3 linked regions of the Arabidopsis thaliana genome follow. The protein of the gene in region 1 interacts with the protein of each later gene in a pairwise test. Each region holds a gene or a part of one and is shown in the gene's direction. Other genes may lie near its edges.

What was found.
Region 2: the proteins of AT5G12320 (region 1) and AT2G31610 interact in a two-hybrid assay, tested with the Arabidopsis thaliana proteins (one large-scale study listed by BioGRID).
Region 3: the proteins of AT5G12320 (region 1) and AT3G53870 interact in a two-hybrid assay, tested with the Arabidopsis thaliana proteins (one large-scale study listed by BioGRID).

The regions. Positions count from the first base shown.
Region 1 is NC_003076.8:3,979,830-3,985,340, forward strand, and holds AT5G12320 (ankyrin repeat family protein), read left to right. Parts: upstream 1-2,747; 5' UTR 2,748-2,932; coding exon 2,933-2,983; intron 2,984-3,090; coding exon 3,091-3,178; intron 3,179-3,523; coding exon 3,524-3,588; intron 3,589-3,691; coding exon 3,692-3,760; intron 3,761-3,833; coding exon 3,834-3,883; intron 3,884-3,958; coding exon 3,959-4,070; 3' UTR 4,071-4,283; downstream 4,284-5,511. Other genes in the region: AT5G12310 (RING/U-box superfamily protein), read right to left, coding at 656-1,118, 1,275-1,379, 1,743-1,873, 2,199-2,264.
Region 2 is NC_003071.7:13,447,202-13,453,156, forward strand, and holds AT2G31610 (Ribosomal protein S3 family protein), read left to right. Parts: upstream 1-3,039; 5' UTR 3,040-3,182; coding exon 3,183-3,212; intron 3,213-3,295; coding exon 3,296-3,443; intron 3,444-3,523; coding exon 3,524-3,695; intron 3,696-3,976; coding exon 3,977-4,163; intron 4,164-4,252; coding exon 4,253-4,468; 3' UTR 4,469-4,781; downstream 4,782-5,955. Other genes in the region: AT2G31590 (uncharacterized protein), read right to left, coding at 384-711, 836-932; AT2G31600 (INO80 complex subunit D-like protein), read right to left, coding at 1,340-1,604, 2,242-2,882; AT2G31620 (Receptor-like protein kinase-related family protein), read right to left, coding at 4,790-5,236, 5,387-5,707.
Region 3 is NC_003074.8:19,949,088-19,954,769, forward strand, and holds AT3G53870 (Ribosomal protein S3 family protein), read left to right. Parts: upstream 1-2,336; 5' UTR 2,337-2,459; coding exon 2,460-2,489; intron 2,490-2,581; coding exon 2,582-2,729; intron 2,730-2,804; coding exon 2,805-2,976; intron 2,977-3,210; coding exon 3,211-3,397; intron 3,398-3,482; coding exon 3,483-3,695; 3' UTR 3,696-3,931; downstream 3,932-5,682. Other genes in the region: AT3G53860 (INO80 complex subunit D-like protein), read right to left, coding at 763-1,027, 1,603-2,183; AKR4C11 (NAD(P)-linked oxidoreductase superfamily protein), read left to right, coding at 4,151-4,270, 4,457-4,507, 4,842-4,918, 5,029-5,116, 5,285-5,560, 5,650-5,682.

The DNA.
Region 1 (5,511 bases):
AGAGTGGTTGAGAATAAGAATCAATGGAACAAAAATAGATAAATATCATGAAGATAAAAAGAACATTATGATGACAAAGATGATGATTATAAAGACTGAGATGATGAAAATATCTAACCACACAATTCCAATGGAGCATTTTCATCAAACAACATCAACCCAATTCAGACACTAACGAAGATGAACGTTTATATTGGTCAACATATTTGACTTAGACTAATGATTCCATGGTCTTAATGGGGTAGGTAAGGGATTGAGATGTCTAGTTTTCTGATGAATAAATTAAAAAGGTATGTTTTAATAGCTTTGATTTTGCTTGGCGTTGCAGTTTACACCACCCAAAATTTGGCCACAGTCAATTGCAGACCCCACTAAAACCCACTCATCATCATCATTACCATAACCACTTAATCTTCATTCCATATGATCAATTCCCACATCATAAGCGAGAGTATCTCTCACTCATCAAGCAAGTGATCAAGAAAGTTGCAGATAAATAAATCAAATCTAGCACAAAGCATCTTAACGACAAAGGTTCAACAAGTTCTACCATTATTAAATTCTACTGATGTACAGATTCTCAAGTATCGAAGTCAAAGGATTTGGTCATTTGGGGTTGGGGTGGGTTGATGTAATTACAGAGATACAACCACAGTCACTTCCTTCCCAACCTAACCAAAAGGGCCTCATGCTTTGCAGCTGCTACTGCTTCCGCAGCTTTGTTTGCAGCTTCACGCTTCATTGCCCTCTTTGCACGCCTTCCTGTTATGGCACTGCTAGTCTTCTCCTTTGGCTCACATGAGGATGAAGAGGCGGGTTCAGAGCCAGAAGCCTGGCCACCTCGGTTCTTATGTTGGACTGGCCTTGCTTCTTGGCGGCCTGCCCTCACAAATCCATTGTCACCCCACCTCCGGTTTCCTAATCGAAGACTTGAACCTTGCATATAAAACTCGTCAAGGTCATCGTCGTCCTCATCCTCCTCCTCATACTCAGGTGGAATGTCGAAATCATAGTTGAAATTGTCATTGTCTGAAACCCGCTCCACTGCTTCCAGTGGCTGGAACCATGATGCCCTCAGGAGGAGGCATACACTCTCCTCGAACATGAAATCTTCAACGCTGCAATGATATATAACAGACAAAATTAGTTACAAAGGAAGAAGTACAGAAAATGATGTAAAAGCCAAGAGTAAACTAAAGCAATAAAGGCACACCGCCAGTCAAGTAAATGGAGTTTAAAATGGAGCCAAATGTAAACAAGGATGGAAATTTTACCTTCCATCGAGAGCGCGGTGGACATTGAGAAAATCAAATGGAAGCTTACATTGTGGGCAGGTAGGTTTCTCCTTGTAACTTGCCCAACGGAGTATGCACGTCACACTATATATAGATAGAAATGAATCATTCCTCTTAAAAATGAAAAGACAAAAGTCAGTATATATCCTATTTCATTTCTAATCAAACATACTTATTCTGTTCAAACGAAAGAAACAGAAAAACGTTATAACAGGTTTAAAGCAAGGCCAAAGTCGATCGTTCAGAAACCTGAGATGAGAGCTAAAACTGATCTAACAAAACAAATGCCTTAAACCACAAATGGTAACTTCCACAGTATCAGACTAAATATTGATAAACAGATCACTTATAACCAAACCAGTATCATTCCTCATATAAAAAAGGATATACACTCCACTAGCAACAAAACAAAATACTCTGAAAAAAACAAAAATCGACCACACGTACCAGTAAGCATGCTCACAGCCTTTAACCATAGCTGTTTCTTGAAGAGGTATAGTATCCAAGCAAATTGCACAACAGCCCCCATGGTTCCCGAAACTCAGCTCATTGAACACTTGTGGAGTCTTCTTTTCATCCTAAAGACAGAAACAAATTCGTGTACATAAGACAGAGTTTCAACATCAGACACTCCACAGGTAACAACCAAACTACAAAAGACGTAAATCCAAGCAAAGATCCCGAATTGAAGCCATCCCAAGTACAACATTACACACACAACGAGATATCAGAAGCAACATTCACAAATTCCCTAATTTCTCAGAACATTTCATAGATCAATTCAGAATTCAAGAGCTAAAGATGGAGGGAATCAACCACAAATCAAAACAGAAACTTCATCTTCCATTTTAGATATCGCAGATTAATTTCAATGATTCATAAGGGACAATACAAAAACAAAACCTGATCTTGAAGAGGCAAAACATCCACTTGCTTCTCCTCAACAACGATCTGGATCGAGGAACTCATGGCGGCGAAAGAGAAAATATAAAAATATTATTTGGATACTCGGAATCTGAAAACGAAAGATTAGGTGATGAAAATAAATAAAAAGTTGTTCCTTGGAAATCAATTCGGCAAGCAGAAGAAAACCCTAATCAAGCAATCTGAGGAAGAAGAGTTGTGAGCTCAAAGTGGGGTATGACAATGATTCGGTGACCAGAAGAAAAAAAAAAAAAGAGAAAAGGGATCGATCGGAATCCTCCGTAGGAAACGGCTGAGGAGATGTAGAAGAAGAAGAAGGGAAGACCCTAATTTAACGATTACGACTTCCCCACCAGAAAATCAAGCGGCGACCCAAAATAAAATTAATATTTATGCGGTGCTCAAAAAATGTATACTTTAATGTTTTATTTATTTATTTTATTTAGATATGAAGTAGATAAAGAGTACAATAACTAAAATATGAATTATATTTGACCTTTTTTCATATTTTTATATGCATTCAAAATTCATGAAAATTGGTTTTCATAAAAATGACATCACTTTATCATTTTTAGTTGGTACTCCATAATTTTACTTTAATTACATAAATACTGTATTTATAGCAAAACCAAACACAAAAAAAAAAAGGAATCGGACAAAAACCAAGTGAAACCAGAAACCCTCAGACTGAAATTGGTATTGGCCGGTGGAGGATGGGAGCAGAGACAAACGGAGTTGCAGAGAAAGTCGACGACTTGCTGGAGGTCTGTCTCCTTCTCTTCATCACTAAATCCATGTTGTTCTCTTCCAATCGATTCATGCCCACCACTTTTAATTGGGTGAGCTAAAGTTTACTTCTTTGAATTGACAGGCTGCTAGATACAATGATATTGATGATCTCAGAACCTTGGCCTCTGATGGTCTCTCTCTTCACTCTCGTGATTCACAAGGCCGAACAGGTTTCTTCTACATTCTGTGTTTGTTCTCAAGTTTCAATTTTTCCAGTTAATAGCTTCACTTTTTCTTTAATGCCACTGTCAATTGAGATTCTTAAAACTCTTGCTGAGATACTTGTAGTGTGTAGTGAGTGAATTACTCGTCTAGATTTATGAAATTTTGGAGTAACTGATGCGTAAAAATTGTACCCTTGGCTTATTTCATCATTTGTTACTGTTTTTGGGGTTAGGAATATGTTGGTGTTCTTACTCTTATCCTTGTATGTTCGGTTACTCAGATTAAGGAGTTTGAAATGTATTGTTAACTCTTGGAACATTGTTTCTTTTATCTTTTGTTTGTCATCAAAGCCCTGCATATGGCCGCAGCGAATGGACATATGACTATAGTGGAGTATCTTATCAGTGAAGGAGTGGTAAGATAACAACAACCCCTTGCTAAATTCTCGGTGTTCTATCGATGGAAACGATTGAACATGAATAAAAGAGAGATTATTGAGGCTTTGTTTTCCTGAGCAGGATATCAACGCTCTTAACGATGAGAACAATGCTCCTCTACATTGGGCATGCTTGAATGGCCATGTCGAGGTAACCGTTACTCATGTCCGCGATTAAACATGTTTTGTTTCGCCGGTTTTACTAAGTGGAAAGCTACTCACAGGTGGTAAAGAGATTGATCTTGGCTGGAGCAAGTCTAAGTCTTTTGAATCGGTTTGTCTCTTGAATCTTTCCTCTAAATCTATCCAAGAAACTAAGCTGAACCAGTTTAAGCTTGAAATTTTGTAGGTACGAGAGAACTCCAATGGATGAAGCTATTGGTGCGGAGAAGATGGAGATTATAGATGCTATTAACACAACTGTTGCCCAAATGGAACTTGAAAATACCAGTATGACATGACTTTTCAGACAACTTCATCCTCAGCATCCTAAATGTTTTCTCTCTGTCTCTCTGAATTAAAGATGAGTTTTTGTATTGTGGGATTGTTGATTTGATACCTAGTCTAGTTGTTAGAACTGGAATCATATGAATTCAAAATCTTTGGTTGCAATATCCATAACCCCAAACTTGTTCAATTAGTTTTGGGCTGGACCAGTTTGGGTTTTGGTTTCATTTGAATTTGATTTCTGTTTTGAATTAACTAGTTTGAGATAAATGATGGATGACGGTGGTAGCCAGCCGTGGAGAACTGGCTAAGTCATGCATTAAATTAGATAGATAGAATCACTATCTAAGTGAACAAGCTCAAAACCCAAATTATCCAAACAAGACGTTGTATACACTAACTTGAGCAAGGACACTGTGATGTATAGAATCACTATCAAAGTGAACTAGCTCAAAACCCAAATTATCTCAACAAGACATTGTCTTCACTGGTTCAAGCTTTTGGTGAGCCAACCCAATGGCAAAGATTGCGAACGTACACAAATGAGATCCTAAGTAATCAAAGAAACCATCTTAGACCATCCTTATCTTCTAGAAATCGATAGAAAAACTTTGGTGCATATGCAATAGCTAGACAAGCTTGTAAGTTTTCTTGTTATAATTGTGGTTCTTGGGAATGTTACTCCCAATCTGTTTGTTTTCAATGGTTCAGATGGATAATTACCTTTTGCATTCTCGGTAATGTAAGAAAATTGGTACTTCCTGAGTTATTAAGAAAGACATTGTGATGTAAATGAATGTAAAATTATCATACATAGATTCTCCTTAAACCTACATGGTAAAAGTCGGTATATCATTTTCCTTTGGTTTGCATACAAATTATTTTGCCAAACAATATGCATTATGCGAATTTGAAATGGCATCTACAATACTAATACTACAAACCACTAAACTGCAAATCTTGATCCATCCATGTACGAACTTTGTTAGTTAAAACCAAACAGATTTAATTTTATCATTCTCTAGTTTGTTGAACTGTTGGTTTGTTGGACAGACTAGTAGTTGTACGAACCATGGAATCATATAAAAGTGGTAATCTTTCGGTGCCCCATTCCTTCTTTTGTTTTTAACATCTATGCATTGCACCATTGCTTCGGTTAAATTAATTAATACTAGCAAATATAGGTAAAGTAAAAGTTGTAAATTACTAATTTTGGTTTAGTCCGAAGGGGGAATGAATCTCTCTCTCTTTACCAAATCCATGCACCTTAACTTGCATTTTCTTTTTGGCCTTCACGTTCACGTTGTTTTCGCACATGCCTTTCACTTTCTTGGAATAGTTTTTTTCATAGTGTTTTGGATATTAAAACTATATATAAAAGTCATTTGAAAACGTTTTCACAGTTGGCAAAACATCATTTCTTAAACCTTTCGGCATAGACTCGTTCTGATGCAG
Region 2 (5,955 bases), on another chromosome or scaffold:
GGAATTCCATCGCCGAAACCCACCACCGGAACTCCCTTGCCGGAAAACCCTCGCCGGAGCTCCGTCGCCGGAAACCTTCGCCGGAACTCATACCACCACCACCGTTGGTCATTTTTTATACCCTTCATGTTAGTTTCTTAATTGATACATATAGTATGCTATATTCTTAATTTTTTAGTAGAAAAGTGTTATTCTTGCAAATGACCTTATAATAAAATGGACACTCTTGTGAAAAAAAAATAAAAAATTGAGATATGTCATGTTCCAAAAAGTGATACTGAGACCATATCTGAACTCTTATTCAAACTGTTAACTTCAACTGTAACATGAAACCATGTCAGTTGTAAATAAAAAATTGACAGAATCAAACGAGTGATGTTAACGTTTTTTTAGGAGGTTTCAGAATACCTCCCATGTTTAGATATGTTTCTTGTTGCTTGTTCTGTTCTGAATCCTTTTCACGTTGTAGGATTATCATGTTTTTGCGTTTGGATGAGTCGCCAAGGTGCAGGTTATTGTTGGAATCCCTATCCTCAACACGTCTTGATGATTCTCCTGTTTCATAAACCCGTCTGACTCCTGGTGTGGGCGCAGCAACAGAGGATTGAAGTCTGCCAATACCACTTTGAGTAGTAGGATGAGTGTAAGGCTGGAAGGCTGCAGTTCTTGAAGATGAGAAGTAGGGAGTAGCAGCAGCTAACCTGATTACATCTAAACCGGCCAAATTTGGTTCCTTTTTACTTTTTTAGTATCCGGTCGCTACTTTTGGTTGTGACTATTCCGGTTCCTCTTGAAATTAGTTTCCTAAATTAAAACGTTCGGAAAAATTCTAAACCGGATAGCCAAAAATCGAAGTATGCCAAGTTTTGGCCACCCATAATTTCGAAAATACAATTTGTCAATTGCAAAGCATCGTTGCCTGAGTCTCCCATTAGCCATTAGACCATTTCGATTTTGCATACGCTTTTCACAAGTAAATTTTAGAAATGAACAAAATTGCAACTAAACTGAAATGGACATCTCCAAATGTTAGAATGAGTTCCAACTTCCAACACACTAGTTTTTGTGCTTATGGATCTGTTATCTTCTTATTAAGCCTAATAAACTACCACTATCTAAACTACTATACCCTACCGGACACTGTAACAAAACCTCTCTTAATAGCTCAGGGCAGATAAACATCCGATACCTACACTGTAACAAAATCTGTAGACGATTAAGAGCGCAACATAATACGTTTTATGTCACTTCTTAGAATGATATAGTAAGGCAGAGATCCTCACCTTTTCCCTTCTGGGACATACACAAAAATAACTTCTGGCAACGCTAACAGCTCAACTCAGCTTGTATTTTCTTCTTTTACTACACTTTTAAGTTTACACTCCTTCTGTGGATTTTTTCGTTTCGCTTGAATATGATGCACAAACGCAGCTACTATAACATGGAGCTTTGGGGGAGGCTTGCTTGTTGAAGAGACATTATGACCAGCATCCTTTAAAGCTTTAGCCACATGCTTTTGGGCTTTCTGGAAGTGTATATTACACAGTGCAGGAACAGTCGACGCAAGTGTTGGTTTTCCACAAAGTAATGGTCCTGCTGGGGCTCTGAATGTACAATGGAAACAATGCAGAGTTAGGTGAGAATTGCTTAAATTATCATTATATGCTAATTACAAACCAGCATACAAACTTACCTATATATGAAATCTAGGTTGTAAAAACTCAAATCTGAAACTTGGTTTATGTTTTAATACTACCACAATGGGACTATTCTAACACAAATACATTTTCAAAGGGTGATATAGTTATGCTAATACTCATATCCTGACTATTTTACAAATACACATCAAAACAGACAACTTCAAGCATCTGCGTCAGTTATGTGTATCAACCAGAACAACAAAGCACATAGAGCAATATTTTAACACAAGGCAACTACTGAATCTATAAATGATTACCGACGATCACTATCTCGATGTCCAAAGCTAAGACTTCTCCCAAACCCTATGAAAAACTTTGAAAAAAAGTCAAGTGTCAATCCCAAATCCTTTCTGCAAACTTGAAAAAAAAAGAGAAACAATCTCTTGGCTCACTACATAACACAAAACAGCTTTGCAGTTTCAATTCATCATCACTACAACATCTTCACCAACTATAATATGCAAAGAACACAACTTGAAGCATCAATTACTTTGGTTTATACGAGAATTTTAAAACCAAATAAAGGGAAAGTGAAACAAACCGTTTAATGACGTTTGTGCAACCAGTGTAGAGCTTCTGCTTACTATCCTTGAGAATATGCAATTGACAGTATTTCGTAAGCGCCATAGCTTTAGCTTTGCATCCATACATACAACTCCCACAATTACTATTCGCATACTGATCACTCTTAACACCATCATTGTTAGTAACATTGTCTCCACTACCTTCAACAGCATCACCACCATCTCCGATATCTCCCTCTTGACCAAGCCTCCGTCTCTTATTCGATTGATTATTTTCGTCTTTAAACTGACTAATCCCATACTTCCACCAATAATCCCTGTGTTGTGCCTTGACATCCTCCATTAAAGCCCAATAATTGTCTCTATAACACTTGGCCAGCTGCTTCAGGTTGTGTGATCGGCGTTTGAGAAGCTCCGACCGGGTTATGTGACTGGAGCGTGCGAGGATTTCATCTTCTTGTGACATCGTAATCGGTGAATTCGATGTCGACGGTAAGCCGCTGGTGCTAGGGTTAGGATTTAAGGTAGAGTTTCGAATTAGGGGCTCGGCTGAGGTGGAAGCCACTGCGGTTGTTGATGCAGCGCCGGAGGAATACGGAGGCCGTGGTGGTTTCGAGGAGAAAGGGTTTTGCTGAATGTTCTTGGAAGCTGACGCCATTGCCGTCGTCGGAAAATGACAGAGCTTCAAAATCAGATGTTCTTGTCGGGAATGAAATTATTAATTTTTAAAAAATAATATTAGTACTTAAATTTTAAAATATATTAAAGCCCATAAAATGTCCATTGGGCTGACATATTCAACAAATAGGCCCAAACTCAATTGGATGTGAGACCTAAGTTTCTGAATTAGGTCAATATAAATACTAAAATCATATCTGATAACGAACACGAGCTTACCGATTCTCTTCGTCTCAACATTTAGGGTTTCAGAGATCGGCTGATTTTCACATCCACAAGTATGGCGACTCAAATCAGCAAGAAGAGAAAGGTGAATTGTGATTTCATTTTTTGTTTTCAGTGGACTTCTCTAGCTGTATCGTATTGGAACTGATCTGGTTACTGTGTTTGTAGTTTGTAGCGGATGGTGTATTCTACGCTGAATTGAATGAGGTTCTCACAAGAGAGCTAGCAGAGGATGGTTACTCTGGTGTTGAGGTTAGGGTTACTCCAATGAGGACTGAGATTATCATCAGAGCTACTCGTACTCAGAATGTTCTTGGTATGTTTGTTTGATCATTTCTTCTCTCTTTCGATTTTGAATGTGTTTCGAGATCTGATATCGAAAATGTTGGGTTTTAGGTGAGAAGGGGAGGAGAATTAGGGAATTGACATCTCTTGTCCAGAAGAGATTCAAGTTTCCAGTTGACAGTGTTGAGCTCTATGCTGAGAAGGTTAACAACAGAGGTCTCTGTGCCATTGCTCAGGCTGAGTCTCTACGTTACAAGCTTCTCGGTGGTCTTGCTGTTCGCAGGTACGACATTTCTCTAGTATGTTTTTGTGTATTCTCTCTCAATTGCTGTTGTTATTGTTTAGCTTACTTGGTCCTAATAGTGAAATGTATAGGATACAACTGTAATTATATTTCTCAGTGGGGTTTCTGTAAATGCGCACTCTTTATAGATTTTGTGTAATAGTTATGTTTCTATCTACTGAACACACTGATGATACATAATGTGTCGACAAGGCTATTGCATCTCTTTTTTCACTTGAACTTCTCATCCTTAATATTGCAATGGTATATTTGATATACAGGGCCTGTTATGGTGTTTTGAGATTTGTTATGGAGAGTGGAGCTAAGGGATGTGAGGTCATCGTGAGTGGAAAGCTCCGTGCTGCACGTGCTAAGTCCATGAAGTTCAAGGATGGTTACATGGTTTCATCTGGTCAACCAACTAAGGAATACATCGATGCTGCAGTGAGACATGTTTTGCTCAGACAGGTATGCTTTCTAATGAGTCTCTTATCTACCATTTAGTGAGTAAGTATACCGGCTTTGTCTAATCTTGTTGGTTCAATCCGTATTTGCAGGGGGTGTTGGGAATCAAGGTGAAGATCATGCTTGACTGGGACCCTACGGGCAAATCAGGACCAAAGACACCATTGCCTGATGTTGTGATCATTCATGCTCCTAAAGATGATGTTGTCTACTCTGCACCTGCTCAGGCTGCTGCTCCAGTTACTCTTGTGCAAGAAGCTCCACTCACAACCGTAGATTACCCTGAGATGATTCCTCCAGTGGCCTAGAGAAGACCTTTTTTACTATTACTCCATGGGATTTTGTTCTTTTTGTTATAACTTTTCTACTTTTGACACTCTCTAGTCGTATCTCTTATATCCTCCAAGCAGACAAGTTTTTTCTCATGTTGTTTCTTAACCTATGTCAAGTTTTCTGGAGGTTGAATGCTTTTAGTTCCATGATTTTTTTGTTCTTAAGACTCGTAATAAGAAAAAGAATGACGACAACAATGCCTGGTATTTGATGTTGTTACTTTGAATTATCATTTTGCTCAGAACACTTTATTCGAAAATAACAAAAACTAAAATGTTTGGAGCTCTCATTATCTTTTACGGTTTTACAAAAGGATAGAGCTCGTACCTAAAAGTACAACTCGGATTCAAAACTCTTCCTCCTTGTTTACCGTTGCAGCATCTGGGAAGCTTTGCAATAATCGAATCCAAACACACACTGCAATTTTTAACTGATAAGTCTTGTGTACACTGCATCATCCCATACAATTTCGTCGTCCCGAGACTTTCCTCCCCCGCTGCATACATGTAGTCTCTTGTGTAAGGCTCTTGTTCTTTACGAATTGCTTTCTCCTTGAGCTTATCTAGGAGAGCCTTTGTGTTCTTGTTGAACAACTTTTTATTGCCGCTCACATCTTTGGCATTGTGCAAATACAAATAGTGCTTGAAATCAATCTTCTCGTAGGTATATATCTCGGAAATGTAGAGAAAACAGTTGTCGTACCATATTATTCTCCCTCTGTTGTTCGGACATCTCCTAAGAATCTGTCACATATTTACAATATATATAAATATGTTGGGACATATTTCCTAAGAAATGCTAAGATATAACTAAAACTAATGTATGCATGCATTTATATATATATATATGTAAGTATATGGGACAGCTAACCGATAATATTGTAATGACGTTACCCCAGAGAAGGCGGTAAAGAGGCAAGAGCGGCACTTGGATTCGGAGGCATCTCCCCGACATTGGGCCTTGATGTAGTAGGTACTAGAATCCGCACCACCAACACCGTGGATGAAACCGTAGTCTAGAATGTTAGACATACTGTCGAGATGATCTTTGAGTCTGCTCTCGTATGAATTCTTTGCCTTGTATTTTCCTTCACTGTTGATGCATATGTGTTGCAGATACGAATTGGTCTGATTTAGGGACAAAACATTGTGGATAAAAGAGAATTGCATGGCCACCACGACCAAGATAGAGATGGATACAGAGGAAGAAAACATTGTGTTAGAGTGTTTTTATATTTGCTCATTTCAGTTTGTAGAAAAGAATGACTCTAGTCTTTTAAATGACAAGAGAGAGGAGTGTTTGGGTGTGAGACTTGGTATTTACGGCGAGGGAAAAGAAGGACCCATGAAAAGGTCAAAGTTGAAAAGTTTTGAAACTTTTAAAATCTGAATTTACTCTACATTAAAATTTCAAATTTGTTACACGTTAGCTATATGCCTCCATGAAAATCAATATACATCAA
Region 3 (5,682 bases), on another chromosome or scaffold:
TTCAGCAAGTAAAAAGCTACATTTGCTTCAGGAGAAATTTTGGCGGGGAAAAAAAGAAATTGCAGAGGAAATTCATAGCTAAGAATAACCCTATAAGAGGATTTTGTCACCTACAAACAGAATTTCCCGAAACGGCTTAGATTCGATTATAAGCTAAGCTTCTTCCTTGTTTCTCCTTTGACATTCTCTTTTTCTTGCTTTGCTTTTTAGTGGACTGAGATAAGTGAGATAAGCATCCTACGTGGCAGCACAAACTAACTTTTTTTTTTTTTTTTTGTCTTTTTTTTTTTTTAGCGATTGTATTTGGTCGTTAAGAATCTGAAGTATTATTTGTTGTATTTTTGAGTTCTAAAAATGTGTATGCAAATGCAATGCCTTTTTGCCTGTCTCTATGTGGCTATTAGACCATTACATAAGTTTTCGTAGTAACTCGTAAAATTGATCAAAATTGCAACAAAACAGAGTTAAATTGAGTTCCAACACAAGTTAAGTGTTTGTGCTTATGGATCAAATATCATCATCTTATCAAGTCTTTACAAACAGTGGAATCATCATCTCAATAACTCCACTGTAATTAGACCTATCTTAAGCTACCCTACATTGTACCAAAACCTGTTCTTAATAGCTCAGTGCTGATAAAAGATCCGATACCAACACTGTAACAAATCCATCGCTAGTCAAATCTACTCACAAGAACTGAAAGAGATGGATCTCTAGAAGATATAGTAAGCCAATATATTATTTCTGGGAACGCGGCTTGACTCAGCTTGTCATTTCTTCCTTTACTACACTTTTAAGTTTACCCTCCTTATGTGGATTTTTTCTTTGTGCTTGAATGTGATGCACAAATGCAGCTACTATAACATGGAGCTTTGGGGGAGGCTTGCTTGTTGAAGAGACATTGTGACCAGCATCTTTTAAAGCTTTGGCAACATTCTTCTGTGCTTTCTGGTAGTGCACGTTACACAGTACAGGAACAGTCGATGCTAGTGTTGGTTTTCCACAAAGTAATGGTCCTGCTGGAGATCTGAATGTACAAAGCAAACAAATGCAGAGTTAGTAGAGAACCGCTCAAATAATCATCATGTGCTAATTACAAACCAGCATGAAAAAGTACATATCTATGAAATCTGGATTGTAACAAACCGAATCTGATAATAACAGTGTATCAATCTGAAACCAGGTTAATGTTGTATTCCAAGTCACTTACATTTTCAAAGAGCTCATCTCAATGTTCAGTTGGAACACATTTTCAAAGATGACATAATAATGCTAATAATACTCATAACCCTACCTCGTTTGCAAAGATACCTTAATAGAGACATCTTTGTCACTTATGTATATCAACGCAGCACATCAATCAAGGTTATGAAACAAGTCAAAGTACCGAATCTATATACGGTTACCAAAGCTAAAATTTTCTCCCAATCCCTACGGAAATCTTTGAAACAGAGCAAAGTCTCAATCCTAAAACCTTTCCGCAGGCTCAAAGAAGAAAGAAACTATTTCTTGGCACAAACATTGCTTTGCAGTTTCAATTCATCATCACTACAACATCTTAAACCGACTATACAATATAAAAGAACACAACTTGAAGCAAACCTGTTGATGACGTTTGTGCAACCAGTGTAGAGCTTCTGCTTACTATCCTTGAGAATATGCAATTGACAGTATTTGGTAAGCGCCATAGCTTTAGCTTTGCATCCATACATACAGAACCCGGAATTGCTGTTTGCATACTGATCACCATCATTACCCTTATCTCCACTACCTTCTGGATCAAGCCTCCGTCTCTTATTCGATTGATTTTGTTCGTCTTTAAACTGACTAACCCCATACTTACACCAATAATCCCTGTGTTGCGCCTTGAGATCCTCCATTAAAGCCCAATAATGGTTTTTATAACACTTGGCCAGCTGCTTTAGGTTGTCTGCTCGGCGTCGGAGAAGCTCTGGGCGTGTGAGGTGACTAGAGCTTGCGAGGATTTCATCTTCTTGTAACATCGTAATCGGTGAATTCGAGGTCGATGGTAAGACGTTTGTGCTAGGTTTAGGGTTCCGAATTTGGGGTTCAACTGAAGTGGAAGCCACAGCGGTGGAAGATGCAGCGTTGGAGGAAGACGGAGGTCTTGGGGGTTTCAAGGAGAAAGGGTTTTGCTCAGTGTTCTTGGCAGCTGACGCCATTGTCGTCGCCGGAAAATGATGACAGAGAAGATTCAAAATGCGAGATTTTTTTTTCTCTTAATTACTTGATTGAAAACATCCATGGGCCCAAACCAATTATTTAACTATTTTATCAATGTATGGGCCAAATTATTCAACAAATAGGCCCAAAGGAAATTGGATGTGAAACCTGATTTTCTGAATTAGGTCAAGTATAAGTACTAATAGCATCTCTTTCGAGATTACGCCGCTCATTTTTAGGGTTTCAGATATAGGCAGATTCTCACATTTGCAAACATGACGACTCAGATCAGCAAGAAGAGAAAGGTGAATTGTGTGATTCTGTTCATTTTGTTCTTTCAATGGATTTATCGTATTGGAACTGTTTTGGTAACTGTGTTGAGATTTTGATTTTGTAGTTTGTAGCGGACGGTGTGTTCTACGCTGAATTGAATGAGGTTCTTACAAGAGAGCTAGCAGAGGATGGTTACTCTGGTGTTGAGGTTAGGGTTACTCCTATGAGGACTGAGATTATCATCAGAGCTACACGTACTCAGAATGTTCTCGGTATGTTTTTGATCTTCGAGCTTAATCATTTCTTCTATTATACGGTAGTGACTGTAAAATTTGATTGTATTTCAGGTGAGAAGGGGAGGAGAATTAGGGAATTGACTTCCCTTGTTCAGAAGAGATTCAAGTTTCCAGTTGACAGTGTTGAGCTTTATGCCGAGAAGGTTAACAACAGAGGTCTCTGTGCCATCGCTCAGGCTGAGTCTTTACGTTACAAGCTTCTTGGTGGTCTCGCTGTTCGTAGGTACGACATTTCTCTAGTTCGTTTGCTATGTTACTTTGTTTGATCAGTTTAGTTTATCATTAGAGACTGATTTGGATAGGTTACTAGTGTATATAAGCATTCACCGATCGTTATAGTTGTATGTTTAGTATAGAGTAATTGTTCTTATAGACTCTGTATGGTTTCAAATAGGTATTGTCTAGCTTCTAAGTGTAATGACTTTAAGTTCTCATGCAATGGTTATATGTTGTATAGGGCTTGCTATGGTGTGTTGAGGTTTGTTATGGAGAGTGGAGCTAAGGGATGCGAGGTTATCGTGAGTGGAAAGCTTCGTGCTGCCAGAGCCAAGTCTATGAAGTTCAAAGATGGCTACATGGTGTCATCTGGTCAACCAACTAAGGAATACATAGACTCTGCAGTGAGACATGTTTTGCTTAGACAAGTGAGTTTCGTCTGAGTTGTTCTTATTAGAGTTAAGTAAAAAATCAACAACGTCTAATTAAAGTGTTGTTAAACCGAATATGTAGGGTGTGTTGGGAATCAAGGTGAAGGTTATGCTTGATTGGGACCCTAAGGGCATATCAGGACCAAAGACACCATTGCCTGATGTTGTGATCATTCATTCTCCTAAAGAAGAAGAGGCCATCTATGCACCTGCTCAGGTTGCTGCCCCGGCTGCTCTCGTAGCAGATGCACCACTCACAGCCGTAGATTACCCTGCGATGATCCCAGTCGCCTAAAAGAATCCTTTGTACTAGTCGATGTGATTTTGTTTTCAACTGTTCTTGCTCTTTTGACAGATTATAGCTTCTCGTATCTTCGAATCAGACACGTTTCCTCTGTTCTTATTCGAAAATTATCTCAAGTTTCCATTGTTGAAAAAGCCCTTTTTAGTTTCATAAATCATTCTCTCTTTGGCAAATTATTCTGAATTAATTCGTAATATTACAAGACCAGTTTGTCCAAATTTTGGTACATCCATCGAATTAACTAATCGTAATTACTAATTACTAATTACTCTCATCACATGAAATATGAAAACACAAGTATTTGCGTTTAGTTATATCCACGTGTTTGAATACTAACCGTCTGTTGTTATAAAACTCCGACGATTTTCCCGCTCCGTCGACACAAACCTCCTCCGTCTTTCGTAAAAGGTTCTCGAGATCTAAGTCTCACTTCTAAAGCTCTGACAATGGCGGACGAAATCGGATTCTTCCAACTCAACACCGGAGCAAAGATCCCATCGGTTGGTCTCGGGACATGGCAAGCTGCTCCTGGCGTCGTTGGAGACGCCGTCGCCGCCGCTGTGAAGGTTCTTCTGTGATTTTCCGTCTCATGGTTTCTCATTTGACTGATCCTTAGAGATCTTTGATTAGATGTTCTGATCCTTACATAGTTTGGTTTTTCCCTCAATATTGGTTGATCTTGGGATTTACGGATTGATTTGGAAATTCGTTTCAGTAGCAGAAGAACTTAATAATCATTTCGTTTTCTGCAGATTGGATATCAGCATATTGATTGTGCTTCAAGATATGGCAATGAAATTGAGGTAAAATTCACCGATCCGAATCTGTATCTTCCATAGTTTGCTTCATATAGTTCATCTTTTGACGGCTCGTTACTTGATTTGCCTTTATATAGAACAGTATATAGTATGATCGTTCTTACTCGATTGGCTGTTTTATGTAATTCTTACTAAGGTTAACCAATTTATATTTAGGAATGACAATTGCACACATTGTCTTGTGTATCTTTTTCTTAAACTAGCTTTAAGTTATGTAGGATTAATGGAGTTATTTGTTATAGACTGTTTACAAGTTCATTTGAAATGTGGCTTTTTGTTTTTCTTGATGGAGAAATTGAAAGCTTTTTTTAACCTGCAGATTGGGAAAGTTCTGAAGAAGTTGTTTGATGATGGCGTAGTGAAGCGTGAGAAGCTGTTCATCACATCAAAAATCTGGTATTTTGTTCATGAAGTTTCTGCATCTCTATCATTTTTATGCATTTTCAGTTTCCCTCGTTTGCTTAAGCCTCTTAACCTATTAAAATCTACAAATTATGCAAGCACAGGTTGACTGATCTTGACCCTCCGGATGTACAGGACGCATTGAACAGAACTCTTCAGGATCTGCAGCTTGATTATGTTGATTTGTATCTCGTAAGCACGACTTCTTTGAACAAATGCTGATTTTTTAATAAGTTCTAACAGTTTTCAAGATCCGTTCCTTTCTTCAATATCTAGCCTGAATTGTCCGGATCTCTGGATTTGAAACTATACATATGCTTGCTTATACTTTGATTTGTTTCATTTGATATTTTTTTCAAGATGCACTGGCCTGTTCGGTTGAAGAAAGGTACTGTTGACTTTAAGCCTGAGAACATTATGCCTATCGATATTCCGAGCACATGGAAAGCAATGGAAGCACTGGTTGATTCAGGCAAGGCAAGAGCCATTGGCGTAAGTAATTTCTCTACAAAGAAACTCTCAGATCTTGTGGAGGCTGCTCGTGTTCCTCCCGCTGTAAACCAGGTGGAATGTCATCCTTCATGGCAACAACATAAGCTACATGAGTTTTGCAAGTCCAAAGGGATCCACCTCTCAGTAAGTTTTAAAACACTAAACATTTCCAAATCATTTAATGAGTCCGAATGTCATATTTATATACACTTCGTGAATGTTGATTGTGGCAGGGATATTCGCCATTGGGATCTCCTGGAACAACG